Lepisosteus oculatus: one gene and its partner. The protein of the gene in region 2 purifies or fractionates together with the protein of the main gene of each other region. This does not show direct contact. Links are inferred from orthologs where the notes say so. Each region holds a gene or a part of one and is shown on either strand. Other genes may lie near its edges. The genes, in order: cdc37 and ulk3.

Evidence for each region.
Region 1: the proteins of ulk3 (region 2) and cdc37 purify together in Homo sapiens (affinity purification with mass spectrometry; 3 studies listed by BioGRID and IntAct, with this or other methods). This does not show direct contact. The link is inferred for Lepisosteus oculatus from reciprocal best matches to the Homo sapiens genes ULK3 and CDC37.

The regions. Positions count from the first base shown.
Region 1 is NC_090706.1:15,644,948-15,661,565, forward strand, and holds the start of cdc37 (hsp90 co-chaperone Cdc37), read right to left. Parts: upstream 7,846-16,618; 5' UTR 7,753-7,845; exon of another isoform or gene 7,735-7,752; intron 7,622-7,734; 5' UTR 7,571-7,621; coding exon 7,463-7,570; intron 5,616-7,462; coding exon 5,334-5,615; intron 4,065-5,333; coding exon 3,959-4,064; intron 3,607-3,958; coding exon 3,491-3,606; intron 1,774-3,490; coding exon 1,651-1,773; intron 1,342-1,650; coding exon 1,159-1,341; intron 610-1,158; coding exon 538-609; intron 1-537. UniProt on the Homo sapiens protein: Co-chaperone that binds to numerous kinases and promotes their interaction with the Hsp90 complex, resulting in stabilization and promotion of their activity. Inhibits HSP90AA1 ATPase activity.
Region 2 is NC_090700.1:56,475,370-56,491,363, forward strand, and holds the start of ulk3 (serine/threonine-protein kinase ULK3), read left to right. Parts: upstream 1-7,648; 5' UTR 7,649-7,710; intron 7,711-8,042; 5' UTR 8,043-8,167; coding exon 8,168-8,266; intron 8,267-9,100; coding exon 9,101-9,241; intron 9,242-10,895; coding exon 10,896-11,016; intron 11,017-11,177; coding exon 11,178-11,273; intron 11,274-11,705; coding exon 11,706-11,849; intron 11,850-12,773; coding exon 12,774-12,856; intron 12,857-15,859; coding exon 15,860-15,994. Other genes in the region: tars3 (threonine--tRNA ligase 1, cytoplasmic), read right to left, coding at 89-235, 1,629-1,707, 2,472-2,536, 2,887-3,004, 3,782-3,903, 4,461-4,584, 5,093-5,283, 5,635-5,718 and 1 more. UniProt on the Homo sapiens protein: Serine/threonine protein kinase that acts as a regulator of Sonic hedgehog (SHH) signaling and autophagy.

The DNA of each region.
Region 1 (16,618 bases), on a different chromosome or scaffold from region 2:
ATTTTCTGAGCTCCCAGAGCTGTGGCCAGGGCACTGGCGGTGCACTGCGCGCAGGGCCTGCTGCCGATGCTGCCAGAGAAGGACACAATTTAAATGGCATATGCAGGTGTGTTGTGGAATCCAGAACAGTTCTCTCTGCTTCAGGAAAGTGCAAATACGGGAAGAGTCTTTTGAAGACTCTTCCCTAATTCTCAATAGCTGGAAAAACAGCACATAATGCAATCTATGTCAATCTCATTTTGCCTGTTCATTAATTGCATTTATTTAAGTGCTTTTCACTTAAAGGTGGTTCCTAAACTGGCTACCTCATGGATGCATGTGCTCTTTAAGGACAGTGCTCGTTAATTCCACAGCATATTTACATTTATCTGGAGTCAACCAATCTCCGTTAAGCAGAGGTGTAAACCACCATAATTTCATCTGCCTGAAGCCTTAGACCTGTAGACAAGGGTTCATCCAACAGTGACTGTACCCATGTGAAACCAGAAGAAACCCCTGATATACACAGATGAACCGGGGGCAAGACAGAAACGTTACCGTCGGATCCATTTTGCTGATGACGTCTTGCAACAGCTGTATGTCCTTCTCATCAAAGCACTTCTGCATCTCCTGCGGAATTGAAATGAGAATCCATTTGAAAATCTTGGATACAGCTCCACAACCATCCACCAATAAGCACAGGGCATGTGTTCATCTCTGCTCCTGCCGAAATGAGCTGGCCTTAAACGTTTAACGACTCTCCATTTGCTATTCATTTTCCAAAAGAGCAGGGGCTTTGAAAAAAACAAAAAGCACTTCATTTCTTAAGCATTGTTTTTTCCAATTATATTTAAAAACAACACAAAGTACATTATTTTTTCAAGCCTCTCATCTCCTCTTGTTGTGTAAGCCCATAAATCACACTAGGGTGCCGGAGAATTGCATTTTCTGTCAGCCCCCCGTTTAGAGCCTGGTGCCCTGGAGGACAACAGCCCCGCCAATTCTGGAGGGAGCTGCAGGACACGTCACTTGCTTAACAGGCCTCTCTTCTACCATTTAGTTAGCGGTGTTATTAAACTGAAACGGCACCCTTAAGGTCCGCCCTCACAAGCTTTTACAGCCCCGCCCTGCAAGAACCCATTGAACTGTGGGAAACGACGGAGAGCAGGAGACACGCACCAGTGGGAGCGTGTCGTAGACCTCGACAGGGTCGAGCCCCCCGGGGCCCAGGCGCTTCTGCCGCTCCTCCTCCTCGAACTCCTTCATGGCCTTCTCGATCCGGATCTTCGCCCGGCCCCGCACGCGCTCCTTGAAGGCCTCCAGCTCGTCGTTGAAGGCGTCCTGGTACTGCTGGTCGGCCGTCTGCGAGAGATGCGGCTTTTCCGTTAGTGACGGCTCTCACAGGCGTCCCCCCCCCACAAGACACAGACAAACAGTCTTTCCCCAAGGGGAAGTCATTACATCTCCACAATGTCTAGTGCTTGTAAGCAATTTATAGTGCTTATGAGGCAGCAATAAGCCTACGACATCTCTGTTGACATCGCTGTACCTTCACAAACAGCACAAAGCAGAAAAAGAGCCTGCCGGATGCTATGAGTCAGTACACCTCTGTTCACCCTGCACTGGTACCAGCAGCACATCGGGGTGCAGAAGAGCTGCTAGAGGGCCCACCTTGATCTTGGTGAAGAACTGCCGGAAGCAGCCCCTGGGGTCCACCTTCAGGCTCTTGGCTAGCTCCAGGATGAACTGCATCACTATGGTCTGGTGGGCAACCTGCTCCATCAGTGCGTGTTTCTGCAGAGAGACCCCCCACACACACAGGACATGAGTAAATCTTCAGTGACCGTGCTGATGCTACAGAGCCTGCAGAGAAGAGGTCGAGTACCACACCTCCCAATCTACACCTCTGACTGGGAGATCCAGCTCCCTTTTCATCGATTTGTTTCTTGCTGATGGGCTTATAAGGCTGCAACAAAACCCTGCACCACAATAACCTGGAAGGTCCAGATTGGACTGCTTCTGAACCAAGGATGACGGCTATGCTGAAACTGCAGGTTTCACAAGCTGTGGCAGTTTCACTTCTCTGAGTCACCTGTGGATTGTGAAGACGGTCTTCATGTGCCATTTCACTGCAGCCTCAGTCCTGTTTCAGATACCTAAAATGTTCTGATATTTTAAATGTGTGCACTGGTGTCCTGTCTTTGGCCTGTTGCTTGCCAAAATGGGCTCCAGCCCCCCCCGTGACCCGTGAAGGTGGTTACTAAATGGATGGATGGAATTTCAAACTAACTTAAGTCAGAAAAATGCCAAAACAAGATTTCCGGGTGCATCTGCAAGATACTGTGTGCACTTGGGAATTCTGGACAATCGTTCAAAGGATTCCAACTTGCCGAAAGAATGCATTCAACTCCAGACAGGGAACAAGAGGAAGGAGAAATACTGAATCGTCCGGAGGCGTGAAAAAGATACCAAGAACATCATGTGTAATACGTAATCCCATGGAGGACTCAGATCTGGACAGCACAGCACCCTGCGGGACGAAGGTCTCACCAATATCACTGCCGCTGGCAGCTTTTTAAGCAGGGGAAAACTAAAGTCTTCAGGAACGTCCAGGCCTTGGACACCAGAAGAACCTACTAACTCAAGTCAAACTGCTCTCAAAAACTGTAGAGGGATTCAATGAAAAATTGCCGGTTCTTACAATTTTCTTCATGATGAGAATTGTCTACGTGACAGTGAGACGTTTCTGTCAAGTTCACATGGACAGAAGTGTGTGCTGATCCAGCTGGAATGACTGAGCATTGTTGCTGTCAGGAACACTCCCAGTCTACTGAGGGGGCAGCTTTAACTTTCAATCCGGTTTGCCATACATGAGGAAGGGAGACCAACTCCCACTCTATGGCAGGTCAGTCCATTTCAGGTTTTCCCTTTTGGGGGCTCCTAGCTAAAGGCTTAACTGAGGGACTGATATTTCATTCTTTGCTCCATAGATTTAGGCCCAATGTTTTGCTCCTTCAACAGTACAATCTATACAAGAGCCTGCACACTGTCATACCAAGAATACAACAGGCTGCTGTACAACAGGGTGCCATTTTCACCCCTTATGAGTTTTCTAGGATACATCTCAGCCACTGTGTGGAGTTGATATGTTCTGCCTGTGTTTGTGTGAGTTTCCTCTGGGTGCTCCACTTATTCCCCACAGTCCAAAGACATGCTAGTAGGTTAACTGGCTTCTGGGAAAACTGGCGCTAGCATGAGTGTTTTTGTGTCTGTGTCAGAGTCCATCCACCCTGCAGTGGACAGGTGTCCTGTCCATGGGGTGTCTTGCCTTGTTCCCGTTTTCTGTTGGGATATGCTCCAGCTCCCCTGTGACCCTGAACTGAAAGAAGGGGTTACAAAATACATGGACATCTTGACCAGGACTCGGGTGAGACCAATTCCAGAGGCATGCCCCCCCACCCCCCTCCCCATTTGGCCACAGCTGGACTGAGGTCAGGCAGGTGATGCTTACCTCCTCCACCTCCAGGTCAATGCACATGATGACGAGGTAGTTGGCCGTCTCTTCGCACACCAGGTGGGGGTTATCTGACAGGTACTTCTGACTGTCATCCCAGCGCCGTAGCATACCTGAGCACAACCGTGGCTGTTAGCACCCTGTCTGATAGCACGCTCAACATCCATACCCACGCAGACGTACAACAGGAACCAGAGGACAGGACAACAGAAAAGACTGCTGCAAAGGCCAAACCTGTTGCTTTTACAACAAGACTGTCAATAAGAATTCTGAGAGGCAGGCTCTTCTACAGAGGCCAACTGCACTGGGTGTCATCTAATTTGCCTTGAGTAAATACAGAAAACATACAAGAACTGCACTTTACAGGTAGAACTTATGATATAGTAGGCTTATAAACTGGTCTAGATCTCCCATTCCCTTAGTGCACGCAGTACCACATGGTGCTGAACAAATCCCCCAGCTTACCAAAGTGTTTGATCTGTTTCTCGTACTTCTCCACGAAGGTCTTGTGCTTCTGCTCCTTCTCCTCCTCCGTCTCCTCCTTATGCTCCGGCTTGACGTTGAGCACACTCTGAGGAGAGGGATAGTGCGGTCAGGCCAAAGCCCCCTTCTTTAGGACAGACTGGGCTTTACTGTGCACACTTAAAAAACTCCATCTAAGCCCTTCCCACGTAAAAACAGTCACAAAAGAACATTTGGTCTTTGAAGTTTAAAAACCCTGTGTCCATTTTCTTAAAAAAACAGGGAATTAGGGAATTCAAAAACACAGCTGAGTTTGTTTTATCCCAGTTTCCATGGCTCTTTTTGTAAATCACTGTGTCCTTATTCTGAAATCGGACTTCTGAATGCGCACCTGTGTCCTGTGAATAATTCTGAATAACCTCTTTGACTCAAGACTAAAGACACATAGATCCTTCGACTTACTTTTTACTTGACACTCTTTGCAGTGTGGGAATTATTCCGTTTTCGGCTTTAGGTTCTTGAGGTTTACTCCCTGGATTCCTTAAATAAGGAACTGCGTGAGATTTTTAGGTCATTTTTAGATCCCCGGATCTGTACACTTCACCAGATCTGGTAATGGGGAGAGATGCACCAAAGTAACAAGGTGAGGAGACCAGCTTCCTCATGAATCTGGAAATACACCTAGAGGCTTGGGGGCATTCTGAGCAGCCAACCAAACCTCAACTTCATGTCTTCAGGAGGTGGGGTGAAAACATGGGAGGAGAATGCAAACTCCACACAGAATCGAACCCCAGACCCTCACAGCTGTGCTAATCTCCCTTGCCCATGTGCTGCCCTGCGTCTTTGGTCTATAAGGCTGCTAAGTATCAATCAAACCAGCAAGATGTGCCAAATGGCCACTGCTCATCAGGAACCATTTTCTATCTTCTTGTTTTGTTACACTTGTATTATACGTTCCCATCGTAATACCCACCCAGTTTTAACTGGCTCAGCATTTCATTACAGCTCCCAATAACCCCATGCAATAATCCCAATACCAAAAGAAGGCAAATAAGAAAGGGCAGTGTTGCTCCTCCGACCTTCTGGCATCTGCATGAAACAGAGTTCTGGCCCTTGCTGGTGTCACTACAAAACCAGCAGGCACCCAGGATGTGGCAATAGCTGCCATTTGGTAGAGCTGACCCTGGCCCACTCATCTGAACCATAACCCCAGCAGTGCTCAGCCGGCAGCACGCCAGCACTCATCTCAGTCACTGCCTGTTACAAACGCGATCGAGGCTCTACCCCATGAAACCCGGGCCGGCGGCCTGCACAAAACTAAACTTGTTGGACTGGTTTTTGGCAGTGGCGGTGTTGGGGAGGACACACACACACTAACCTTGCTGAAGCCCTCCCTGCTGAGGGTGTCCACATTCCAGGGCTGCTTCTTCTCCTCCCTGCGGTGCTCGTCCAGCTTCTTCTCCCACTTCTTCTCCTCCTTCCTCAGCTGCTGCTCCTCGGCCTGCAGCTTCGGCAGCTCCGCCTTGGCGTCGTCCGTGCCCGAGATCTCCAGCTCCCGGATCTTCTTCTGCAGCTCCGCCGTCTTCCGCTTGGACTCCGTCAGCCCCTTCTCCATCTCTTCCCGCTTCTTCTGGAACTGCTCCATGCGCTCCACCCTGGCCTAATCGGGGAAGGAGGGCTGAGTAAGAGGCAGGGGAGCCATTTCCGAAGCTGTGCCTCACAGGGAAACGGCAGCCCCCAACAGAAAGAGAAAACACAGCTGGTCTATTTTACTGTATTCTGCAGTGACAAGGCCTTTAATCTGTATAAATTAAGAAAAGCAATCATCCTGGTACAGTTCTCTCTGGTACCTATTACACCACCCCAGTTTGAGTATTCACTTTTTGTCCACACCAGTTAACACTTCTCCAGTTCCTGGGTACAACCACCGTATTACACGATTCTTGAAGGGCTGCATCAGTGTATTCTCAATAATGTCTCATTTCCATGGCTAACAATTGGTAAGAAACCCATTTTATTTCACTTCCGCCTCCTTAAAAGTCCATTTCTTAAATTTCTGCTTCCTGGAAATTGTAATACTTTGCGCTTTGGCACTCAGTCTGTAACGCACACAAAAACACTTCACAGCACAATATATTGTGCACACCACGCTGGTGGTGCACTCATCTGTTTCTGTTAGCCTGTCCTGACTTTGATGAGGCGAGATCTATACAAGCACCTCCTTGCAGATGCACTGGCGAAGTGGGTGAGAGATTCTGCCATTGATAATCCTATTCGTCTTTGCCTTGGAAAAAGTCTCCCATTAAAACTGCTTCTTATGCACATTTCTTTATTACACAGTGCCAAATTATAATCAGCATCTGCTGGTCTATATCTTACTCCGAACCCTGTACATTTGGAATGTTCCGTTAATGAGCCTGTCCCACACAGATCCAGAGACTCGAGCTTCCTGAAGCTGAAAACGTTTTATCTATACAGCTACAGCCCCTCCCCTCCTTCATCTTTCCTGCCTCTCTGGAACAGAGTGGAGTGTCTCCACTAATGTTACATTTCTCTCCATCATTCTCAGGCACCCAGGTCTCTGTGATTAAAATAACTTCACAACTGCCTGCTAACGTGGTAGCTTCTCTCTCTCCTCTACTTGGTTTCCCCTACTCCTAGCATTTAGATATAAGCACTTAAATACCTGATCATTTGATATGTTTTTCCCTTTGGCTCTCCATTGATCTATATTCCCCATGCAACTTCCTTTTCCGCTGTTTTTCTTCCTCCCACCTTCCTTTCTAGTTTCTAATGCCCTCCCCTTTGCGTCATTAATTATCGCAATTACTTCCCTCCTGTCAAAGGGCCGGGATGCTAAACATGTAGTTAAAAGTAAAATCAACCGAGAGTGAAGCAGCCAGGGGTTAATCCCCCCAGTGTGGGCGGGAGGGCCGGCACCAGCGGGCTAGAAAGAGCACAGCTGTTCGAGGGAAGTCGCATTCCGCCGGGATCAGAGCACTCCTGGCACAGCAGCCCCCTTCCGAAAGCAGGCAGGTCCCACCAGCAGCCGAGAGGCCGTGCAAAGCCTGGTTCCTGCCCTCTCACACCCAGCAACTGTGGCTGACAGCACCCCCAGAACCACATACGCGCATTAACAGCATCAACTGAGCACAAACAGCGCAGACCCCGGGGGGGATGTATTCCAAAACGTGTTGGGAAGACTTGAGGAGTGCTTGAAGTACCGCCTTTTTGCAAAAACACATCGTCGGGTCTTTGTTATTGGTGCACCACAAAGTACCGTGCACGAATCAAGGCAAGCTCTTAGGAGTAGGCATTTTAAATATTATAAAATAAAATGAACTGCCTTGTTACTCCAGTACTTTTTGCAGTCGTGGGCGGTGGATTAGTGAGCCCCTAACAGAAAGCTCCCCCGGCCCCTAGTAAAATTCTACGTTCACAGACATGCTTATGTGCCCTGCAAACGCCATCGCGATTCATTGTGTCAGGCCCGATTATTTAATTCACCTGGTGCCTCCAACGGAACAGGCTGGGGGTATCGATGTTGGGGTGAGTGTCGTCTTCATCATCAGATACTTCAATGTGATCCCACACGCTGTAGTCTATAGTTGTCATCTTCGCTGCGAGGTCGGATCAAGCACGGACAGCCCGGCGCGTGAATGAACTCTAAAAGATAAGAAATACAGCACACAAACAAAAACCTCAACACTTATTGGCCCGGTGATCTAAATTTTGAAGCAATCTTTAAAAAAAAACACCCCAAGAACACTCCGATCTACCTCCAACCCGTCACTCGCCTTGCCTCTGAATCTTTCTCGAAATCTCTTTTGCTTCCGTTTGAAGTGTGGAACGTCACTTCCGTACGGCCCCGGAGCCTCCCCTCTCTCGCGCCCCTTCGAGAAATCGGTGAAGCGCCGCTCTGTTGCTCGCGGCGGAGCAGCAGGAGCGGCTCTCTAGCGTCGACGTCCCTCCCCCTTTGTGGCTCGAGTCTGGAAAAGACCATGCAAATATGGCTGCGCCCACCCGGGCAGCAGGCGGCCGGACATCCGTACGGCAAGAGATTATACTATAGGTATGAAGAAAATATTTTGTTCCAAATTAAATTCAGCACTACACATTAAAAACATGATTAACTCCAACTGGAAAATAATCTGTTAAACATAAGTCTAGGGTTGATATCCACAAAATTCATTTTATATTAAAGTGGACTATTTCATTTTTAACTGACATTGTGCTACAGTCTTGTTTTCAGACTATAATGTCAATCTCAGTTGTTTTCTTTTTTTAAATTTTATTTATGCTTAACAAAAGAACAAACATTACAGTCGCTCTTCTGCTGTCGGTGGACCAGAATTTCCAAACCCGAGTCCCACTTTGGCTAGGGGGACACTGAGCTTGATAAAAAACTGTCTCTCTTCTTTTGGCATCTTACAAGCACTTTGAGATGGCGGCTTTTAAACGGATTGAATAAAGTTGGTTGTTTCTACACTTCGCTGGCTATTGTGATGGGCGCCACGGTGGAGCAGTGAGTTTGCACGCTCTCCTCATGTTCCCACGGGCTTCCTGCAGGCGCTCCAGTCCAAAGACATGCTGGCAGTTTAACTGGCTTCTGGAAAAGTGGCCCTGGTGCGAGTGTGTGTGTGCTGTGTGTGGCCTGCAATGGAGTGGCGTTTCGTCCCCAGTGCAGCCTGCCTTGCTGGGAGAGACTCCAGCTCCCCCCGACCCTGAATTGGAAGAAGCAGTTAGAAAACGGAAGGATGGGCATTGTGAAAAACTACTATTTGGTAATGGCGTTTCCAGGCACAAACCCCACTCCTCCCTCAGACGCCTGAGGAGCGCCGTGTTCTAGAATCTGGAAGCGTCTCCAGACACGTTCCAGTTTTAATTCGTCCTTCATTACCAACAATACATATTGGCAATGGACCAAACTTGGGCACAGCGGGAAATTCTGGGTTTAAAGAAATGCTGAGTTCTGCAACTTGCTTCCAAATATAAAAAACAGAAAACACGCCGTCATCACAACTGGACTCACAGCTGTGTAAATTGCTGTGCACAAGTCTTCAACATCCTAGACACAGACAGGAATAACTATACTGTGCATATTGTAACGCATACGGCCTCCATTGCTTGTGAGAGCTGGCTTACCAGAGCGGTGATGTCACTGCCCTTCCCTGTGAATAGCAGGGACTGCAGCCGCTGGGCTGATGGGAGATTTCCCTTTGGCTCAAGAGGCTGGGTCCCTGTTGAGTGATGCCGGAGGCCTGGGTTTGAGTCCCTGACGGTGGGGGGCTGACCTGATGTGGCAGTGGTGAGGGTGCCCATGTGAACCATGTGTAGCGTTACAATATTGCTAGAGCTTTAGATGACTGAGAAGTGTCTCTTAGATTTTAGATAAAGTTTGTAACACTTGGAAGAGTAAACACTTCTAACTTCAAAGCCCAGAGGATGTTTGCTGCGGTCTGGGGGGGTCCCTTGAACAGAAACAACTGTAAAGTCGACCTTAGTATACCTAGGTACCTTGTGGATTAATGATTTTCAAGAAGCAGTACAGACACACACAATATAAGATCACAAGAGCACAGAGAGGGGAGAAAGAGGAAGAAACAAGAAGCAGGGAACAGAGAGGAGTCCGGAGGAGTTGGGACTTGAAGTTGCGCCAAGTGAGAGCCCCTACTTCGTAGAGGGAGACTCGTTGGGCCTCTTCCCATCCAAATCAAACCTGGCTGGAGCTACAGTAAGTATTTGACCTTGTTAGAGAGGGCTTGCTATTCAGGGTTTTTAGGGAACTTGGGTTTCAGGTTAAAAGATACCTCAGTTAGAAACATCTTTCCTGTTAAGGGTGCATTTTTATGGATAGGGATATAGGCTCCCATTTATTTTGTGGCATCTGGGGTGCAGAGAGAGAGATTTAACTGCAGGTTGCATTGTATTTAGTTAGAAGCCAGCTCATCTTTCATGTGCCCTCTGTAGGCATTAAGAGTTATATAACGCAGGCACCGTCAATGTGGTTATGCTCAGTTTCTGTCATACTAACATGAACCGAGGATGTCTGTGCAAAGGAGCCCTGCCACATGAAAGTAAACCTCACACCCGAAGAAGGCTCCACAGCCGAAACGTTGTGTTTTCTTTCTTCTCTTATCAGAATGGAATAAACCTTTACTTGTTCCGTTGCAGCCTATGCATGCTGACGCAGATACCCACCTACACTTTTTTCTCACAGATGTTAAGCAAGAGTTGCATTTTCCTTTCCAGAGAAAGCTGATTTTTTTTCCCATTATGGACTAGAATGAACAGAACTGAAAGGCAAATAAAATGTATTTGTGTTGCCAACGCTCTGCCCGGAATAGAAAAGTCTTTAGAATACACAAAAAGCAGAAATCCAATTAAAATGATGAGTCACACCTAGGGAGGCTCACAAATAACAATTTGCCTTGAAGTGACAGGAATGCTAATCACATGCAATTAGAACTCAAGAGCCCAAATCTGCTTCTCTCATCCATCCATTATCAGACACATCATATATGTTGTGGGGCAGTAATAAAAAACACAATCAGAATTTTTGTGATGTATAGTTAAGTGGAAAATTTAAAGCAAAGTTTTTTATGTAAAACCTCATTTAGAATGCTGTGTACCATTTTAGTCACCACATTAGAAAAAATATACTGCTGTTCTGGAACCAATCCAGAAAAGAGCAACCAGATACATTATAGGATTTACTGAATTAATTCTTTGTTCTCTGTACAAAGGGGAACTGATTCAATTACCCGAAATCCTAACAAGAATTTGACATGCTCAACCCAATGGACTTACTTAGAATCAATATTTGAAATATCAGGCAGAGGCCACAACTGGAAAGTACAGAAGTTCCAAGCCCATCTAGTCCATTTGGTAGTTAGCAGTTAATTCATCCAAAGATTTTATTCAGCTGATTCCTGAAAAACATAAATCAGGGTATCGGAATCAAATACATGGCTGGGTAGATGGTTTCAAACTCTCACCACCTGTTCTGTTCTCAGTTTGGAATGCACGTCCACCTGAGTTCCTCATGAATAGGCCTTGATATAAATTCCTTCCACCCATTTTCTAGCCCCTTTATCCAGGGTTTGTGGGGGAGCTGGAGTCTATCCCAGCAAGGATACACCCTGGACGGGATGAAGGTCAGTCATAGGGCAGATACACAGACACACAGGGCTGATTTTCACAGAAGATCAGTATGTTTTTGGACTGTGAGAGAAACCCGGAGCACCTGGAGGAAATGCACGCAAACACAGGGAGAACACACAAACCTCCTGCAGATAGCACCCCAGTTTTAATTTAAAGTTGTAGTTTGGTTTGTTACCAGCAGAGGGCACTATCAGGTTATTAATTATTCTGCATTGTAATTGAATCATCATCAATATTAATTTTAGTTTAATAATAATAATAAAAGTCAAATAATTGTACAACTAAACATTCATTAAATAACTTGAAAATATAATATTTTTAGTCACAGAAAACGATTTTCAAAAGGATCAATTTAATTATTAAAAAGTCAAATTATTTGTTGAATGAAGAAATTGAAAGTCTAGACACTATTGTCACCAGGGCCAGAATTACAAAGTTGTTCTGTTTTGTTATAGATCAAGGAGGCTCTGGTTCTGCTCGTGCAAGTTTGGTCTCTTTGAGGCACCAGCACTTCAACAGCTGGGAGAAGTCTTTTAATTGGTCCGACGATGGCCAATAATGACATCATTCAGGACCATAAAAGCAGAGGTGCAATGAAATCCTTTGAAGGCACCATGGTTCCAATAAAGCTCATTTAAAGGTTCAATTAATTAAATGAGAAGAACAAAAACCAAACCAGAGAGTGTGTGGGAATCTGAGGATTTAAAACAGAAAGTCCTGCTCTAGATCAGACAAAATAATAAAATTACTCTTATTTGAATGTTTAAGAACTTTCCTTTGTCTGCGGATTTAATATCTTGAAGAAGAACAAATGCATTTAGCTGCAGTAACGGTAAAGCTGGATAATTTGAAAGAGAACTGTGTGTGCTAAAGGTTTTTCTATCTTCCATCTCAAAATCCCTCTCAGCCTCTTTGATAGCAGCAGTGTGCAGAAGCCGAGAGTAATGAGACACAGCCTTCCCCCCATGTGCTCAGAAAGCCAAGTTAATTCCCACCAGAGAGCCATCCCTCCCTAGCCTCGACAGGTCCTAATTCTCTCCCCTTGGCATTTCTCTCTTTCATTACCCTCCTTCTCTCTTCCTTCGGGGATTCAGTTGTGCGAGTGTGCTGGGATTAGGGATTTCAAACGTGTAGAGAGAAAGACAAGGCACCAGAATAAATTGTGTGCTCTAAATTCATCTTATTGAGGAAACCGGAGTTCAAGGGATAAACAGCTTGCGACCTGGCGTGGTGATGGACATCTTGCCCCTTTTCGGAGGCTTACAAGTGCAGATACACCGTTCAGCAACAGGCCCAGCAAACCTGTGGCCAGGCAACAGTAGAACCGATTCCCTCCAACTTCCCTGCCTGCACAGCCATGTCTGTGAGGTGGGTAGGAGGGCTGGCCCACCACAGTCTGGATGGACTCTCGTTTTTCCTTCTTCCTGCAGAGACTGCAGAGGAATGACTCATGTGCCCAAAGCCATCAGAGTGCACTTCCCAGGGGGTGAATAAATGGACGTTGGAGGCACCGAAAGAGAGAAGGGGAAACTGGTTTCAGTATTTTCTGATCTATACCGGTGCTTCCCGAGACAGGTATTGCAGGAGGACTCAAGAGTTTGCTGGTGGGGTGGAAGGCAAAACACATAATGGAGAAGAAGGTGTGCTCTCGTGATTGGGCGGATTTTATGTGGCTGTTCAGTTTGCTGTTAAATTTATATCTACCTGTCTGTTGAAGATGTTCCCGTTAGGACACATTACCTTGCCTGTCTCGCTGGCCAAAGCTTGCAGCGCCACGCAGAAGAGTGAAATGTTCAAATTATCTGTGGACAATACAAATGTTAAAGCTTTTAAAATCCCTCGGCTTATGCCAGAGACTATGTACACCTGAAAAAGACACAACCTGGGTGCAACGTTTTCTCAGTCTTTCTTTCTTTGGCTTCTTGAAAGAGTGCTGATATTCACTCCTGGTCCTGTAGGGACACTGTTTCTTCAGGTTTTTATTCCACCCTGGACTCTTAATGACTTCATCTGAATCAATTGTTCATTTAATTGGTCTATATTACCACTGTTTCCAAGTCTTTACTCACCGAGGATTATGTTACCCATAAAATCTGATGAACCGTGAGCCTCCAGGACCAGAAATGAATAGCACTGACCTAGAAGATTGTTTTTGTTTTACCATCGGTTTCGAATGTAAAACCTTCCCTAATAAAAGGCACAGATTCCCAAGACAATGGAAAGATGGACAGATTTGAGAAACCTGAGTGCCACTCACGACAGTAAATACACACAGCTGGTTAAACAGGGACAGTCTGTTAGTATTGCCCTTGACTTACACAGCCAATTAAAGGAGGACAGTCTGTCGGAAATGCCCTTGAGTTCAAGCCTATTAAGCTTATAACACCTGCTTTCTAATTATCAGTACCAAGAGGTAATTTTCCTTTAACTACTCAATAAATCATGAAATCTATACTAATAACAAAGAAATGATGGTTAACTATCCTGTATCTATATGAAAAACATATCTGTAATGTTTGTTATCATCTACTGTAGATTTCATTATTTGTCTACATATTTTGTATATCCTGCTAATGCATCTTAACAGCAGGAACATGGAAAGCCATAGGTGTGGCTCTTATCTGATGTAGCTTTAGCAGACAAAACACCAGATTGGGGTAATAATCATTCTGATGAATGGAGCAATTGTCTTAATCAAGCCCCCAGTGCCTCAGCATATCTGCTCTTAGCCCTGTGAAGCACATATGCTTAACAATAAAAAACCCTCTCATGAAGCCACAAGTAAGCTGACTTCCAAAACTGCAGTTTCTCCCCACAGACCAGGAAATCAACCATGAGATTTCTGCAGGAAAACCTTCAATAGGCCCTGATGATGGCCAAGGCACCAGACAAGTACAAAGGTGTTTGTGCCTGCTCTGTGTCGTGCGCGGCGTTTTATCACCACAACAGTAATAATCCAGGTGGATGCTGCGCAGTGGTGGTGGTGGAGGGGAGTTCCAATTACATGTAAAGTGCTTTGAGTGGAGTGTCCAGAAATGCGCTATAGAAGTGTAAGCAATTATTATTATTAACACCCAGTCTGTGGATTCTTGGATGGCAGTACCCCATTGCCAACAAGTGTTAGTGTTGTTGCTCTTTGTTAAGTGGGTGTTCTTATCCAGGGCAATTGACACAAGCTGCAAAAATACAATTGTGCCAAAAACTGAATGAAAAATATTTAAAAAATCATATGGCCATTACCATTGGTGTGTCAACATGGCTTATTCAGAAATAAGAAATAAAGAGCGCTTTGAGATGATGGCTTTCACAGTCACAGTCAGCAGAGCTGGGACTAACATGAAGCCACAGTCTTCCATGCTCATGGAAGGAACTTATTGTAGCCTGCTGTGCTTTTGATTGTATCTGGGGGTCTAAAAGTGAATTTAAACCCATTTATCTGCAGGGATACTCCAGTCCAGCAACTATGATAGACAAAAGTAACGGAGCGACCAAACGGCACGGACCACACCTTCTAATCGCGTGACGTAATCGCGGACTCGTCATCATCACTGAGGTTAGTGGGCAGGTTGTTACGTACAGTAGGAATTTTACCAGCACTTACAGTCTTATTCAATCGGCGTCACGAACGGTAACATCACCAAACCAGGACACATTTTCAGGTGACTAGGCCGGAAGGGGATGATGACGCACGAGGAAGGTGCACGCGGGGTGTGGCAAGTGAGGCGCGAGAAGTGACCGTTAAAGAAACTAACAAGGGGAAATAATAATCCTGAAAATAATCTGTTTCACACAGTAAGACCATTCTTTTCTACTATCATATGTGTTTGTGTATTGTATGAATCGTTATTTTTCATAGCCACGATATTGTTTTCAACGTGTTTTGGTTCGTTGGGTGATGTAATGACTCACCTGCTTAAAACGTCCCTTGGAAACTTGAGTTACATTTCTTTGGACCCCTGTAATAATTTTGTTTTATTAAACTGACGATTACCGAAGAAAACAGATTGTTCGCGGCGTTGGCTATATGGATGTTAGCGAAAGACTAAAATGGCGATTCCCGCCAGGACTGGTATGCCAGGGCAACTGCGCTGCCCTCCAGCAGGGGGCCGGTTTCACAGCTGAAACCTTTCATATTAAACTCGAATTCATTGAATTCATTCAATGGGGGCTGGTAAATACAATATTTTACTGTTGTTAAACCCATTTATAATATCTTATTAGAGAAAAGTATGCATTCACAGTAAAGTTTGATTTTGCAGCAACATTTGAACTGATTATTTTGTATTCTAAATGGATGTATCATATCCTTACAGTGCCTTGTACTATAGTCCTATTGTATATCTACATCTGAAACCACATTTGTTCCCCCTGTGTTGTAAACCTGCTTGCTTTACTGATATCTTGCGAAGTGCATCTGTGCTCATCTCTGACGTCAAGTTTTGACTGAAGGGGCACCTTCCCTTGAGCCTTGTGATTGTCACCTTCTTGTAAGTTTAAGGAGAGATTTGGAAAACAATTCAAGTTTAAACCTGCAAATCCTTGTACTGCATGCTATGGTTATTGTTTTTTAAACCACAATGCAATTGTTAAATTGGAATAAAGACACTTCAATTTATTTATATTGTTTAGTATATATATTTTTTAATTAGATCATGGTCTATTGATCATCTGATTACTGATTTGTTTAATCTGGTGCCGTATTCAGTAGGTTCTAAATTGGATCTGACTTTGTTGCTTCACGAGCTGCTCATCAGGGAAAGGGCACTCTGTAAAATAATTAAAAAAAACATTTTGGGAATAAGCTGATTCATTGTAGACTGATCTTTAACAAGTCCACCAGCCTCTCCTGTTCGTCAGATGTCATCTACGGTAGAGTTTGCTGCCGCCTGTAGAGAACGTGTTGTCTCATTTTAAAGAGGGAAAAGGGTGTTATCGTGCAGGAGAATGGGAATCCCACAGCTGCCTTTCTTCCTGTCCATCAGGGCTTCTACAACTCTGCCTGTGTAATGAATGGAGACACAGTCTGCGCAGGTGTGCTGAACAGTTAGTTGACAGCCAGCAGATTGACAGCACTGGGAGTCTCTCGGCTGATGAATGAGCTCAGCGTTCTGACAATTAATGGTACCTCCACACAGTCCAGAGAGAGTCTGACGCAGTTGAAGGAAGGGGGTAAGTTAGCTTGCCAAAGGCACGGAAAATCTGCTTGTGCTACAAGTGCCTTGGGATTTACGTACCAGAAAGTTTCCAGTCCAGGGTGCCCCCCCCAGTATCCTTCTCGAAACCTGAAACATAGTCATTCTTTTCAAAAGGAAAGGATAACATGCTATTTTCACCCCAGCCTGCAGCAGGCTGTCAACTGATTACAGGATTGCAGGATATTGTTCCTGCCAAGTGGCTAGTTTAAGCTAAGTGCCAATGTCTACGGGGTGTGTGTGTGTGTGTGTTGGGGGGGGGGAGGCTGCTTTGCACTTAAGGCATGAGTCACACTTTTCACAGCCT
Region 2 (15,994 bases):
TGTACCAGACTCCCACAGCCTCTGGGAAAGGAAGCGCTGCCTGTACTTGGGGGGAAATGAACGGGGTTCTCTTCCTTTATTCCTTTACCTTGCCAATTTTGCGGTGATCCCGGCTCTTGGCCTCCTCCTGGAAGCGCTCCCACTCCTTCATCATCTTGGAGTCGGGGAAGGAGATGCCATAGAGGCGCTGGAGCGTCTCCATGTCGGCTCGCCCCTCCCAGTACGTGGATGAGTTCTAAAGGACAATAAACTTGAAATTATACTCATACACTGGTATATGGTAGAACGAAATTCTATTTAGCTCAGACAGTAAGTAATAGAAAAAAACAACAATACAATTGTGTAAGAAAAGAAAGACAGAGCCAACAGGTAATGTGCAAAATACCAGCTGTACGTCACAGAATGAAATAAAGGATAAGAAAATGATGGGGAGTGAACATCTTGACATGTGAGTTAGAGGTAGGTTTCAATGTGCGTTTGAGTTTTGATAAGGAGAGAAGGCACCATAAGGGTTCAGATCGTAGGCGAGAGAGGCTGGGAGTTTGATAGTTTGAAAGTGCGGGGGTAAAAACTGTCTCTGAGTCTGGTAGTCTGGGCCCGAACGCTCCAGTACCGTTTCCAGATGGTAGAGGGTTAAACAGGGTGTAGCTGGCGTGTGTGGGGATGATACTTGGAGTTTTCCTCAAGCACCATCGGTCATAAATGTCCTGGATGGATGGGAGAGCAACCCCAGTGATGGACTGGGCAGTTTTCACCACCCTCTGTAGGGCTTTGCGGTCAGCAATACTGCAGTTGCCACAGCACACTGTGATGCAACCTGTCAGTGTGCTTTCTGTATTGCATCTGTAAAAGTTAGTCAGGATCTGGGGAGGTATCTTAGTTAAAGAGCACAAGGGCAATATGCAGGACCTTCTCTCCAGCTCTGGCTGCATGCAAGGCTCAGGGTAACTTTGTTCCTTGTGCTCCTAAAGGCCCATTTAATGGTAAGTAAGGCAAGGTAATCAGACAGGATGATGTGTGCAGTGGTTTCAGTACCTAGGTCCCTCGATCAGACTGCTCTTTCACCTGGCCTGACAGAATTCAACCTGCCAACATCAGTAGTGCATCTGGTTCTGCTTGAGGGTTCAATTGCAAAGTTATTTTCAACCTCATTTACCTTAAAGGCACCTTTAAAAGGAGGGATTCAGACTTAGAGGAGTTCAGTTATGATCCTACAGATGGCAGCTTCCTACCATTGTCTCCTCAGCTGAGCCCAGCTCAGCCATAACCACAGCGTAACCCGCCGCCTGTGTTACATGTACTGAAGTAAGCCGCATGTCAGAAATGTTAGTCATCTAAAACTGCTAGGATCCTGAAAACTCTTTTCAGAGGGCAAAAGGTTTAGAGAATGCACAGCATAATAGTATCATTATAAAATTTTAAGCTGACTTACCGTTCTTGTCTAAAAACATCTTACTCTTTGTGAAATCAATAAAAACTGAAAGAAGCAGTGAAAAAGATGGCACAACTAAGCACTCCGCAGAGAACTTAGCTAAGCTGCGAGTGTTGGCGAGAGATGGTTGAGAAGGGAAGGCAGCATTTTATCCCATTTCTTCCCTCTCTCTGAGGTACTGTAGAGTAAACGGTACCTTATAGATCTTCAGGGCCTTGATCTTGCCAGTGTGTCTCACGTGTGGTCCTCGACAGAGATCGATCAGAGGCCCACACCTCCAGGAAGCAGCAGCAGACAACAGCAAGGTTAGCACACTGCCAAACTGCTGACTCACCCTTCAGATCAGTGCATCAGACATTTCCCTTCCAAGTATTTTCGGATTATCACAATCCTTATCGAACAAACTATGCAAGTAGTCAATTTTACTTTTCAAATCTCATATATACCTCCTCCTCATATTACACTATAACCTTCAAAACACAAGCCATCACTCGACGGTGGACAACTTGCGGCAAAATTCTGTGATGAGTGTCCAAAGCCAGTGGTAGCCAACATTAGCAGACACCAGATTTATACAGATAAGGCTTGCCTTGTCTCATCTGGACCAATTTAGGTTCTTCATCTTTAAAAAGACATAGAATCATACAAACTTTCTGCTAGACAAATGAGCAAGACTGAAAAGCATCACTGGTCAGGACTTCCCACTTCATCTGAATAAAACTGAGGCCTGACCTATCAGAATGATTCCCACTTAAGCAAAACTGGGTCCCTGCGTTCAGATCAAGTCCTTTTCTCTTGAAGTGGATACACTGGGGCTAACAAACAAGCAGTAAGGTGAGATTCAAAGATTAATTAAGTACTAGTAACTCCACATGGCAAAAAAGATTAAATTAAACTCAGATATGACTCTCAGATTGGTGCAGTCTGTCCCCAACCAATCTGTAGCTGTCACTTTGTGTCCACCCAAGCAGTAGTCCTCCCTCACACAGTGCACACAGATCAGCAGACAGGACCGCGCAGGTGAAATGGCATCTCTTACCGGTATACAGTAGTAGTAGGTGTGTTGACTTTCTCGTTCAAAATTCGGCACTTGAACTTGTTGTACTGCAATAAAAAAAGTCATTCCAGCATTATAAAACATATGTTTGGTAACTTTTGCTAAAAACGTTCTTTCAAAAAGTGGAATAATTCATTTCTAGTATTAAAGACGTGCTAAATCAGCATATGAACTTTAAAATACAATTAAGATGGTTTTAACTAGTTTGTAAACAAACGCGTACAGGTGACTCCTTAGCCATGTGTGCCAGCAGTAATATCCGGCAAAACAGCCAGGAGGGTATCAGCCCTTCCCAGGCAAAGGAAGAAGCTCTGCAGCACCTGTGGCCTCAGGGCTCACGTCAGGTGTGTCAGTACCAGAACATCAGTAATTTAGAGTTTACAACATCTGCTCTTGCCTTAAACATCTGCAGCAGCGTCTCCTTGCTGATCTCCAGCCGCTCAAAAGGCTGCTTCTCCTTCATCACCGACTTGCAGATGCCCTCCAGCTCGGTGAAGTCATGGCTCGACACACCTCTAGACAAACACGGGGGCACAGTCAGGGACCACCAGAGCAGCTGGAAACACGCAGCTCTGAAACCCACCAGATCAAAAACCATACATTCCACTCCAGAGCTCAATTCCTGCCGAGTACTTTCCAAACACCAAGTGTAGTATAATAGCTCAAGTGTAGCAATCCACTGCGAGGACAGGGAGTATGCAACAGCATTACTGCCTGACACAGAAGCACCCCTGTGCACGAGGTATTGAAGTGTACTTTGTTACAAAGCTGTGAGAAAGTCTGGAGGTGGCAAAGCTCTAACTGCATTCAGAGACATACTGTAGCTCAGGTCCTTTCCCCATGAACTCAGGAGCTGTTGAACTTGTTCCGTTTTCAAATGACAAGGTTACCAGGAGCCTCTTGATTCTGTAATCCAATTCTGTAATTATGTAATTCTTGATTTTGTTGACTGAGGTAAAGACAAGGGAAATACCACGTTACCCAGTAAAGGTGGGGCACTTCTGATCAAAGGAAAATGCAACCTGACTTGAGAACATGACCCCTGCTCTTGTGAAATGGGCTTCTCATGGCACATGTTCACAGCATTAAGGACAGGATCAAGCATTAATGTCTCGCCAGAATAAATCCTAAAGCATAGCACCTCCGTCAGCATTCAGGAGCTCCACCTGCCGGCCCACAAAGCCCCAACCAGCAGCAGCTGGATTTTCACATGATGACTTGCATTACAAGCACTGACCAGCTCCAGAGCTGACCTCCCGGTATCTGACCGGACAGGAACTGCAGAGCCTCACCGTCCGTCCAGGAACATGTCGTAATAGAAGCCGTTCTCGATGGGGGGTCCGTAGCACAGACAGCCCCCGTAGAAACGCTCCATCGCCTCTCCCATGATGTGAGCGCTGGAGTGCCAGTACACCTGAAACACAAGCAGTTTGAATAAAGCTGCACTTTAGGAGTTCAGCTTTATGTTACTTATTTTTCTCTGGTTTTTACATACTTTAAAGTCACAACATGCACAACCTATTGCTTAGTTTTCCAGAACAGACCTTCAAAGCTCACAGAGCCTCACTGAGGGAATAGCTTATCATTTCTATATTGAACTTTGTGGATAATAAGTGTCAAAAACTTACTCTAACCTGTACATTTTGAAAGATGTTTACTTACAGAATCGATAAAACATACTCCAGAAAACCTAAACCCCGAAGTGAAATGATCAATTGACAACATCCAGAGAAGAGAAGCTCCACACAACACGTTCATTACGATCAACACAAAAGTTCACGAAAAACACATGATCAGGACTGATGATCTTTAGCACATTTTCATATCACTCCAAGAAACACCGTCAGAACTGGCAACAAAACCTGCAGTGAATATTTTAACTGTCAGAATATCTGGCTTCTTCACAGTGATCCAGTTGCTAAATGACCACTGGGAATTCGAGGACGTACAGAGAGAGAGCGGGGGACTCACAGCCTGGGCATCCTCGTGGTCAAAGCGCAGCAGCTCCAGGGAACAGTCCGTCTCCAAGGGTCTGTCCAGGTCCCACAGCTCTCCGTTCACCCGTGCGATCACTGCACTGTCAGCCAGGCCCTGACTGCGAGGGAAACACCGTCAGCCCCCGAGACAGAGGTGCACCACACCCCACTGCACTCCATCAAACCCCCAGGACAGAGGCACCCCACACCATCAACACCCAGCCCTGGACAGAGGCACCCCACACCATCAACACCCAGCCCTGGACAGAGGCATCCCACACCCCAATACACTCCATCAATCCCAGAGACAGAGGCACCCCACACCCCACTACACTCCATCAATCCCAGAGACAGAGGCACCCCACACCATCAACCCCCCCATGAGACAGAAGCACACCCAGCAACACTCCATCAACCCCAGAGACAGAGGTGCCCCACACCCCACCACCCTCTCCATCATCCCCCAAGACAGAGACACCCCACACGCTGCTCAATGAGCTCTCTGAACCACAGCTTTTACAAAAGACTCTTCTCATTAGACAAAGAGTACTTGTACAAGTGACAATGGACCGAGCGATATCCTGTGGGCAAGGAGCCCCTGCCTGCGGCCGCAGCCCTGCCCCTCACCTGATGCCACAGGCCACGTGGTAGGGGCTGCTCTCCCAGCTGCGGGCCTCCACGCGCCGCCCGTCCGGCAGCTGCACCCGGACAGGCCGGCTCTCGGCGGCAGCTCTGCGGGCCAGCAGGGCATCGCTCTCCCGCTTCAGCTGCTCGTACAGCTGCAGCCGCTCCTGGACGTAGCTCGGCCAGAGGGGCAGCTGGGACAGCGGGGAGACAGGAGAGCTCCTTCACCGGGTTTACCAAGACCACGTTCGGAAGGCAGGGCCCACATGAACACAAGACCAGGGAACAGTCAGACTGGGCTGTTTTAAAGCCGGTAGAGGGGAAGACTTTGCTAATGCGTCACTGATTGCTGGTTGCTCTCGCACTCCTCGCTTCTTTTGTTTTCCGATCTGAGGAGTCTGTGATTTCTTCTGTTGGCCGTGTCAGTTTCTCACTATTGGAGAAATGTGCTGTTGACTTCGAGAGCCCCGTGCGGCTTAAGCTGAAGCACTAGATTTGCGTCTCGGTCAGGAGCCAGGCTGACAAGGTGCGGCGGGCAGAGTTACCTCTCCGGATGGCTGCTCGCCCCTGGAGTTCTCCTGCTCCTCTTTCCTCGTCCCCTGAGCACTGCGGGAGTCGGAGCTGCCCAGCTGACAGGCAGAAACCAAGAGTCAGACAGCTGCTTCTTTAAGAACGTACATCTGACTGCACAAATGAACTTCTACACCAGTTTAAATGAAGAATTAGATTGTTACTACGCTTCAGAAAATTTCAAATCATGTTCTATATTTCATCTTTGTTTAAAATTAACCCCAGTTAATTTTTAAAGTCTAGATTTAGAGATAAACCTATTGCACTAGTAACGTGTTAATCATACATCTAGGATAAACTCAGAAATACCCATTTAAAGTCACTGTGGAGCAATATTACAATTAATTTAACATAACGCTAGATGAATTTTAGTTCAGCACTCTTCAATGCAGTCTGTTTTGGTGTGATCAAACCTTAGAATCAGCAATCGACACTTCCTGACTGGCGCCCACCTGCGTGAACCCGAGACTTACCAGGCCAGGAGGGGTGCTGACTCCACTCCTGGGGGCCTGACACCCACACTGTCAAGAGGGGCTCTCAGGCATTGCAAGCCCAGAGCCCCACACACTCCAGCTCCCTCATGATCCTAGACTCTGGAGCGCTGAACCCCCAGTAGTAGGTCCCCAAAACACCCCCACACCCAGCAGTGTCTGGCCAGCCGTGCGTCGTCACTGGTAAGGGCACAGGCTGCTTCATCTGCAGTATGAGGACTGGGGTACGTTCTAAACCCAGTACAGGGGTCACAATGCAGGTAAGCTTGCCGTGGTGCTTTGAGATGCACGTTCACTTACAGAATGCCTTCGGCTTTGGAGATGGTGGTGAAATAAAAAGCACAGAGCTCACAAAGGATCATACAGAAACAGGGTAGATCTGATGGAAGCCATTTGCTCTGATTGAAGGTGACATATGGCACTGAGAGCATACAGCAGCTGAACTGTCGTACAGCGAGCCAGGCAACGTCACCAGCAAGGGACTGAAGACCAGATGCAGCTTCCTCACATGGGCTTGAAACTTTTGCTCCACCACTAGTGAGAATTATTTAATTTCTGACACGACAGCTATCATACCATTTCCCGCCTGACCGTGTCACGGTGTCTCCATACACTAATATGATCATGTCGTGCCTGCCTCAGCAAAGAGGAGTCTTCAGAACGCCTGTAACCAGACCCATGACTGCACGATGCACTGCCTTAAAGGGAAGAGCTGCTCAGGGCTGTGCAATCAGACAGTAACACATCTTTCAGGCACAGTAGATTCGGAGTTAAATTCCCCGGTACCTCTCTGCTGCTGCTCTTCCCAGCTCTCGTCTCTTTCCCCTCCTCGCCCTCCCGAGCGCCCGTCTCCGGGTCGGACTCGGACTGCAGGCTCCTCCGGAGATGCAGGATCCGGTACCGCAGCTTCTCGTTCTCGCTCCGCAGGGTCTCCAGCTCCGGGCTGCTGCAGAGGCCGGCCACGGCCGCGGGGTCTCCGCCGACCCCACCGCGCAGCCAGGACACCTCCTGGGTCAGCAGGCGGACCTGCTCCTCCTGCGCGGCCAGGCGTGCTACCATAGACTCCGCCATCTTTAAATCCCGGCTTCTTCCCTCTTCCACGGCTTTAATACAGCTGGCAGCAGCGCCACTGCGCGGAAACAGGCTTGTAGCGCCCCCTGCTGGCTCCCGTGAGCAGCACATTGGGATTAGGCGCTGCTTGGTTAAACCGTAAGGAAATCTAAACTCAGCATATGGGCAGAGTTAAATTTCCCTCGCTTGGTATTTTTAAAAACATTTAAAAACATTATCCATAAAGCTTCAGTATTACTATACTACTGTTATTGCTGCTTCTATTAATTCTATCATTACTACAACCACCACTAAAACTACAGTATACTGCAGTAATTGGAGCATACCTCACTTCTCTTCTTCAGTAAGCGGCGATGCAGGTACTGAGCCGATGCAGGATCTCACCGCCAGGGGGAAGCACCGATTTCGTCCGTAACTAAAATCGCGGTGACGTTGTACAGTGTACAGTATGGAAACAGAGCTAGAAATGCACATTGAGCAGGTGTGGAAGTAAGTCTGCAGAAAAAACATAAGTGATCGCCCTGAGCACACTGTTTTAGTCCCCCTAGTATACAGATTTAGACTAGTGCACGTATTGAGGTTTACGAGGCTCAAAACGGTTCGGAAACTATTGTTCTATACCTTTATTTAAAACCATCGGGTCACTTTACATAGCCGCTGGAAACACGTTACTTACTGGAAAATGTTAGGTTTAGATGCACTGCATACATCGCTGCTCTGCCCATAAAAGATCTGGCATTTTCAATCGCATTAAATTGCCATTTAACTCTAATTTTCTTTCGGATCTGTGACGACGCGCTATTGGTGCATGTAATTCCCAGAGCGCTTTCAACAAGGAAGTAGGTGCATGTCGAGTCAGCCCGGCTCCAGAGTGGGGAGGATGAGCAGCTCCGCGGCCCCAAGCCTGTCCGCCTCCTGAGCCGAGCTCCGCCGTCCCACTGCCGGCATGGCTGCGGGCTTCGCTCCCCCGAAACTGTCCGAGTTCATCCTGACCGAGAGGCTGGGCAGCGGGACCTACGCCGCTGTGTACAAGGCGTACAGGAAGGTGAGTTCTCCGCGGCTCTGCCGTGCACAGAGCTTCCGAGGAATACCGACATTGCGCTCGCAGTTTCCCCACTTTGATAAGACACTTTGGATTCTGATAGCAGTAATAACATTCATTTTGATTATTGCAAAATATGGCCGTCAGAAACCAGAGTTCCTGTTGAAAAGCTTCGATATGGACTCGGCAGTGTGAAAAATCACCATTCCTTCGCTTCAACCACCAGTATCGGTGTTGTGTTTGCAAATATAGGCGGCACATACACAGCTATACAGTGGCCTGTAGGACTGCAGATAACGTGAGTCTGTGTTTTTCATGAACGGGTGGTTTCGCATAAGCACACTGAACTTGGCTGGTGATTTTTGAAGCTGTGTTTTACAAATATATGTAAGTTGAACATTCACAGTGTAAAAATACAATTTGTAGGACTGCACTTTGTTTTTACTGTGATATTTCTTTCCAAGAACCAAGTGGTTCCAGTGAGTCCAGCCTTGTAAAACTTACATGTATGATCTCTGACTAATGGAGACAGATACACTTGTGTCACATACGCTGTTGGACCCAGGATTCAGTTCTGTATCTCCCAAGCCCTTCCCTGCTCCTGACACTGCCCCACCACCAGAGGGCAGGGATGCTGTTGAGAGTCCTGTCTCTGGAAAACTCTCCTACTCCTACTACTCTCCTGCTGCTACACGTGGAGACTGGGTACACTTCCTGATGTGCTCCAGGGTGCAGGAGCAGGTGAAAAGTAAGCTCAGGGGTGGGGCAGTCATGATGCAGGGGCATGGTGGGATCTGGACTTGAGGACAAGCTGGACTCACAGTGACTGTCTCGCAGAAGGACAGCAGGGAGGTGGTGGCTGTGAAAGTGGTGGGGAAGAAGAGTCTGAACAAGGCATCCACGGAGAACCTGCTGACGGAAATCGAGATCCTCAAGACTGTGCGGCACCCCCACATTGTCCAGCTCAAGGACTTCCAGGTACCCCATCTGCACCACTCGGAGCCACACACACAGCCCTTTTCTGAAGGTCTTGCAGACACTTTCCTGAGGGACAAAGCGTACTGCTCTGTTGAAGTAGTTCAGCTGGGTAGCTGTGTCAGCACCGCGTAGGCTGCAAAGGAACAAGTAATAGGTGTATTCAATGCTGAAAAGAGAAGAAAGAAACCACAACATTTCGGCTGTGGAGTAAGGTTACACCCGAAGAAGGCACAACAGCCTAAACGTTTTGTTTTCTTTCTTCTCTTTTCAGCATGGAATAAACCTATTACTTGTTCCTGTACTGCCCTGTTGTCTCCAGAGATGTAATGACCTGAGTTGTTGTGCGCTTTTTAAAAACATGTTGCGGATGATGCAGAAAGGAAACACTGTGTGTCTCCAGGGTGCTGTTCGCCACAAGCTGTGTGGCATCACTGACTAGGGCAGGACTCTGTACAGCGCTTGTGAGAGTCTGAGGGCTGCACTGAGGGGAGCAGTCTGGCTCCTGCTGCCAAGCTGTGAGACGTGTCTGCAAGGCCTTAAAGCAAAGATGTACTGTTAGAGTAGAGGAAGCCACCTGGCATATTTATCATGTGAGTTCCAGATGCCTGTTGGTCTGGAAGCCTTACAGTATCATGACAGTTTTTCTAAAGAGGCCAAAGTCTCTGAGCTTTCTAAAACTGTAATTCATGCTCACTGAGTGGGGGGAGTAGTGAAAGGCACTTTTCCACCTGTTAAACCTCATGTACCTGTAGCGATGTTTGTTCTAGTGCAATAAGGCCAGCTTGCCTTTACACAAACCTTTTCAGCTTGAGGTCCAGATTTATTATTGAAGTTCAAGCAGGTAGCTGCATCAGCATGCGTAGACTGTAAAGGAACAGGTAACGGTTTATTCCATGCGGAATGGGAAAGAAAAGAGATGTCGCAGCTGTGGGGCCTTCTTCAGGTATAAGGTAAACCAGCAGTTACTGAAGCATGGGAGGAGATACTTCGAACAGTTAAGGGGCGTTAGAGGTGAAATATGGAACTATAGGTTTGGAGAGATCTTTGATCCTCACAGTCCTGACGTGTTCCCTGAAACAGTTTCCCAGTCTCCTTCCTGTCTCACCAATGTAAATAGCTGGGCTTATTCTGCAAGAGATGCAGTCAGTTAGGTTGCTGGATATATACAATGTCATCTTGGTGATCTAATATTGTCCAGATTTATTATTGTCACTCCATTGCCAGTCAGGTGACCTATAAACACAAGTATGAAAGTAAGTAATTGCTTTATCTCGAGAGGAAGCCTTTAGCTTTGATGGGTACTGTACATTGTAAATGTTTTCCTGGGACAAGGCACACATGTCTAGGGGCTCCTGAGCTGTAGACAGGAGTTTCAGCAGACTGGACTGGGGTTCCACTGTGGCCACGGACAGAAAATGGATGTTGCTTCCTTAAACATTTATGACACCAAATTCAAGGAGGTTTTTGACTTCTGGACTTATTCTGAAGTAAACCAGTAGTTGCAAATAAAAGTATCATTTCAAATTTAACAGAACCCCTTGAAAGCCGAAGAAAGACAGGTGGTTGTGTGCTCTTTATGTTATTAGCCGCCGCTGTCCTCAGGGCGCTCTCCTGGTGGGGGGCGGTGGACTGATGATGCTTGTCTTGGCTGCAGTGGGACAGTGAGAATATCTACCTGATCATGGAGTGGTGCTCTGGGGGCGACCTGTCTCGCTTCATTCGCAGTCGCCACATGCTGCCGGAGAGGGTGGCCCGCCGCTTCCTGCAGCAGCTCGGTGAGTCCTGCCGCTTCCTGCTCCTGCTTGACCAACCCCCTGCTGGCCCTGTCCTGGGTTTGTAGGCTGTGTTCTTACGCTGTCGCCCAGTAAGTGTGTGGCTCAGCTGTTGGGAGTGTGGTCGACCGGAGCCCTGACTCTGCTGTGTTGCGCGTCTGCAGCCTGCGCCCTGCAGTTTCTCCATGAGCGGAACATCAGCCACCTGGACCTCAAGCCTCAGAACATCCTGCTGAGTGGCAGCGTCCTCAAGCTGGCAGGTACAGTCTGACCACAGCTTCCTGCTCACAGCCCCTGCAGGCCGGGGGTCCGAATTCAGCCCTGCTCTTACAGGACACCTGTGTGTGGCGTCGGAGGAAATTGTGGACAGAGCTGAGTTTGGTGAAGTACTCCTGATGTCGGGACAGCAGCACAGGATAGCAGGTGTTATAAAAGTGCTGTTCATTAGAAAGTCATGATGATTTTGCAGCTATTTTAAAGTGTTCCCTCTGAAACAAACTCAGATTGAATAGAAATGCACAAGAGAGAAGAGCTGCATTTTCTGATCTGGAAAAACCTGTTTACTCCCTTCAAAGCGCTCACGTTTGCATATTCCAGTGGGTGTCCTGATCAGTAGGCAGTAGTTTACACTGTATGGGCCCTTCAGGGCCTCGTGTGGAGCGCCCCCTCACCGCCCCTGTGTCCGTGTGCAGACTTCGGCTTCGCCCAGTACATGTCTCCCTGGGACGAGAAGCACGTGCTGCGCGGGTCCCCCCTCTACATGGCTCCGGAGATGGTGTGCAGGCGGCAGTACGACGCCCGAGTCGACCTCTGGTCTGTGGGGGTCATCCTGTACGGTGAGGGGGCTCTGGGGGGCTCCGGTCGCGCTGCGCCGCGCTGCACACGCTGTGGGTCCCCCGTTCTCCGGGGCTCCGCAGGGAGCGACTTCGTTTGCACCTTTGCCTGGCTGGGGAGGCCGGACAGAACTTCCCAGTACCTCTCGCTGTGCCAAGAGGAGCCCTGTGACGTCTGCAGTCTAGTTTCTGTGACGCTTACAGGAAATGTAATGCAGGCTGTACGAAAGGGCATCTGGACTGGGGGTATTTACTTTCTTTACGGAAGGCTTATGAGGTCATGTTCAAGATGCCACATCACTACATGGCCTGAAGTTTATGAATACATCTGAGTTAATCTGTTTATTTCTGTGGGCCATCCCCCTGCTGGTACCCCACAGCGCTGCCTTGTCGCAGGCGAATGTGTCTGGGTGCCTTCAGCCTTATTCTGGTCTTATTCTGGATTCCTGAAATCAGTCAGTTTCAAACCCTTTTAGTGCCTAAGGAAGGTTACTGATGAAAGGAGACAGTTTCACCCTTTCTGCTGATTCAGCTGCTAAAAGGTCATTCATCTAAGGCTCTTGTACAAGCCTCTGATCTGCTAGCAGTCAAAATCTCAGTATTTATTAGCTTTTAATTAGGTTGCATACATTCAATTGTACTGAACTTTGAGATTTATCTATGAAAAATGCACTTATCGATACAATTTATTAAGTACTTATTTAAATCTTTCTTTTTTGTTTTTCAATTGGCCTGCTACACCTCGATACTCTCTGTATCTTATTACATGCCAGCATGGTTCTGCAGCCCTGCGGTGTTCTGGGACATCGACTGCTTCTGCCACCTGCCTCAAGGCTCACCTGGCATGCGGCGATGTCCCATGGCACCGTGCGTTCTGCTGCGCCGCCTAAGACCCAGTCTGTGTCGTTGCCCCCTGTGTGTGTTCAGAGGCCCTGTTCGGCCGGCCCCCTTTCGCCTCGCGGTCCTACACTGAGCTGGAGGAGAAGATCCGCAGCGACTGGCCCATCGAGGTGAGACACACCTGCCACGGGAGCAGGAGCGAGAGTGTCCCTCTGTGTCGATGTGTTCGCGACGCTGCCCTCCGGCAAGCACAGTGCCCGCAGCGGGAAGCAGAGGCAATGACAAACATCTGATGTATCGCCAGTGGACCCTGTTTCGTCCTTCACAGTCCCACATCTGTTGAAAGCCAAGCCACACCCTCAGTGTCCTGACGCCAGCGCGCGTGGTGGAGGTGGTGGAGGTGTCCTTGAGGCTGCTGCCTGCCTGCCTGATGCAATTCCTTGCAGCCAGAGAAATGCTTTTTCACTCTCTGATAGCTGCTGGACAGGGCATTTCTCTAGCAGCCTCAAGGACACAGCTCAGAGTTAATAATAATCAGAATTCCAATAGTTTTCTCAAAGCACTTTACCTAGAGGGGACCCCAGTCACCCACCAGTGAGGTGCGGCCCCACTGCACAGATCAGGCAGAGAAGTGAGAAACTGATTCATCATTCAGATTAAGGAAGTTCAGGAATGACAGATTCTACAAGTCTAAGGTGAAATGTAGTCAGAACACCAAGGTTGGCACCCTTGTTTTTACAAACGGCTGTGTCTTCTTGAATGACAAAGCCATAGCCACAACCTCCCGGCCAACCTCGAGTAACCCAGCGAGTCCGCTCTGTCTGAACCAGTCTGTTGTGACAGCTGGACTGCAGCTCTGGAAATGGATGTTTACACACCATTCAGTGTTGCCAAAGATTTTGGAGCTAGAGATGAAGCGTGATCAAATATTTAAAGACCTTGTGTGTATTGGATTTGTGTTTTGGGGAAAAGAGTGGAAAGAGCCATAAGGAAGAGAGGAGGAGAGTTCTTCACCACTAGAGGGCAGCCTGCGCAAGCTTAGTCCAGTTTGTCAAAGCATCTCTTCCAAGTCTTTGTTCCTGCTAAACCACGCAAAGAATTATAGTGTTAGAGAGCAAATCTTATAGTGTTGCAACCCCATGCCATATGTTTTACCATAGAAAAACTATGATAAAGAAAATAATACAGAAAAGAATGTAAAGTTTCTTGAAGTGAATACATGAACACGTCATGTGCAGGTATTCTGTACTGATGTAATGATACTCACATTTCATATTATAATTTGACCACAGTCTTTTAAGTCTATTAAGTTTATTTAGTCCTCTTGAATACTTGATAATATGACTGTTGTCCCGTCTGCTCATGGGAAAAGTCTTTCTTTTCACAGAATCTTATTGTAAAAAAAAAATCGGATCTATTGTATGCCTGCTCGAAGGGCCTGAAAAAAAAACTTAACAGCTTTTCTTTTATTGTTTTTTAGCCAAGTCTGTGTCTGATTGAAACTAAAATCATAACTGTCCGGGTTTTTGTGGACATTGTGGTTAAAATGTGGGTTTAAAAACCTCCAAGAACTCCAAGAATTCCAAGAACTGTGGACATGAACTTGGCAACCAAAAGAAACTTCCCACTGTATCTTTGGTCTGAGAGGAGAAAAATGACCAGGGAGCCTTTTAGATCAAAACATGATTATCTCCCCCCCAGATTTGTGGTCCTCAGCACTGGATCTGGCCTTGACTTATTTCTCCTTTCCCTCAGCACTCAGTTCTCAATCCGGGGAGCAGTAAGCCCCTAACTAAGGCTCGAGTTACAAGAGCAGTTTTCTCCCCGGCTCGGCTGAGAGGGTGCAGGAGTGTGGCGCAGTGCCTGGCTCTTTCAGCTGGAGGTGCAGCTCTCCCTGGGACAGGCGCCTGCTCAGACTGTCTGGGAATTTGCTTCCCCTTGTAAAGACAGACAGGAAGAGAGCCAGACAGCCCAGGTGGGAGGATGAGGGGAGAATGGAGGAGGGTGGTGTTGAGATATTTTTGGGGGCGCCCCCGTTTCTCTGTGCCTGTGCATCAGCAGGTGCAGTGTCCAGCCCCTGGTCAGAGGAGTGGCCAGGCTGCCGGCTGAGACACCAGAGTTCACACGGCACAGGCACAGCTCCGGGAAAAACAGTTGTCGCAGTAAGAGCTGGAGACCGAGAGGGAGGCCCCCAGTTTGTGCCTTTGCTCCGTCTGTAATTACCAGTAGGTTTTCTTCACATTACTGTCTTGGTTGTGCTGAATATTGTCACTCGGATGTAGTTGTTTTAGTTATGAGGAATCATGTTTCACGTGAGATTTAAATTAACTTGTGCTGTTTTTTTTCTGGAAGGTTTTTCTTTCATACTTTTGTCTCGTGATGCAAAACCCCCTTTTGTTCAGGATTCAACAGTATGCTAGTAACAGAGTCACGCTAACAGTGATGTGATTGTAAATGAGTGTCCGGGCTGTCTGTGCAGGGCAACGCATCGTTCAGGTTGGTCACTGAGACAAAGATAGAAATGGTCCCGGGTTCAGCGGCCTCCAAACTGCTTCCCGCCTCACCAGCACATTTTATCCACATAGATCTCCTAGAGTCAAGGTCTCTATAAACTGCGGATAATGGGCACTGAGCTGCGATTAGAGCTCACATTACGGCTTCGAGATGCTTCCAAAGGGATTTTTGTGTGACTGCATGAAGCTCAGTAAGAGGAGAGTGAAGTGCCCTTGTACAGTGTATGTTTTCTAAAACAGCTGGTCTAGCAGGACGCCTGTTTTAGATCATGCTGAACTCCAGGGGGCTTTGGAAAGCTTGACTACACAACACCAGTATGTGTTCATAGGAAATTACAAGGATAATTGATGGAAAAAACGAATTCACATTGCTCGAAATTTTTTCACGTCTTAAGAATGGGAAATTAATAAAATTCTGGTTCTGAAAGCAACAAAAGCAAAAGTAAGTAGGAACGGCTGGGGAGTTTAAAGAAAGGCTGTTTCATCAGTAAAGAAGCGAGGAGCCCGCGCTGCCTGGTTCTCTGCAGGGCTGAGGCATTGATTTTGACAGGATGTGTGGATAATGGTGGGTGAGCTGCTGATTAAAGGGGAGGTGTTGGTGCAAGCGCTGCTGGGGAAACTGGGGTCCCCCTGGCCAGGCCTCTGTCTCCTGTGTTGCAGCTGCCGCCGGGGGCGCGCGTGTCCCGGGACTGCCGAGACCTGCTGCTCCGCCTGCTGGACAGAGACCCCGACAGCCGCCTCTCCTTCTCCGCGTTCTTCGCCCACCCCTTCGTCGACCTGGAGCACATGCCCAGC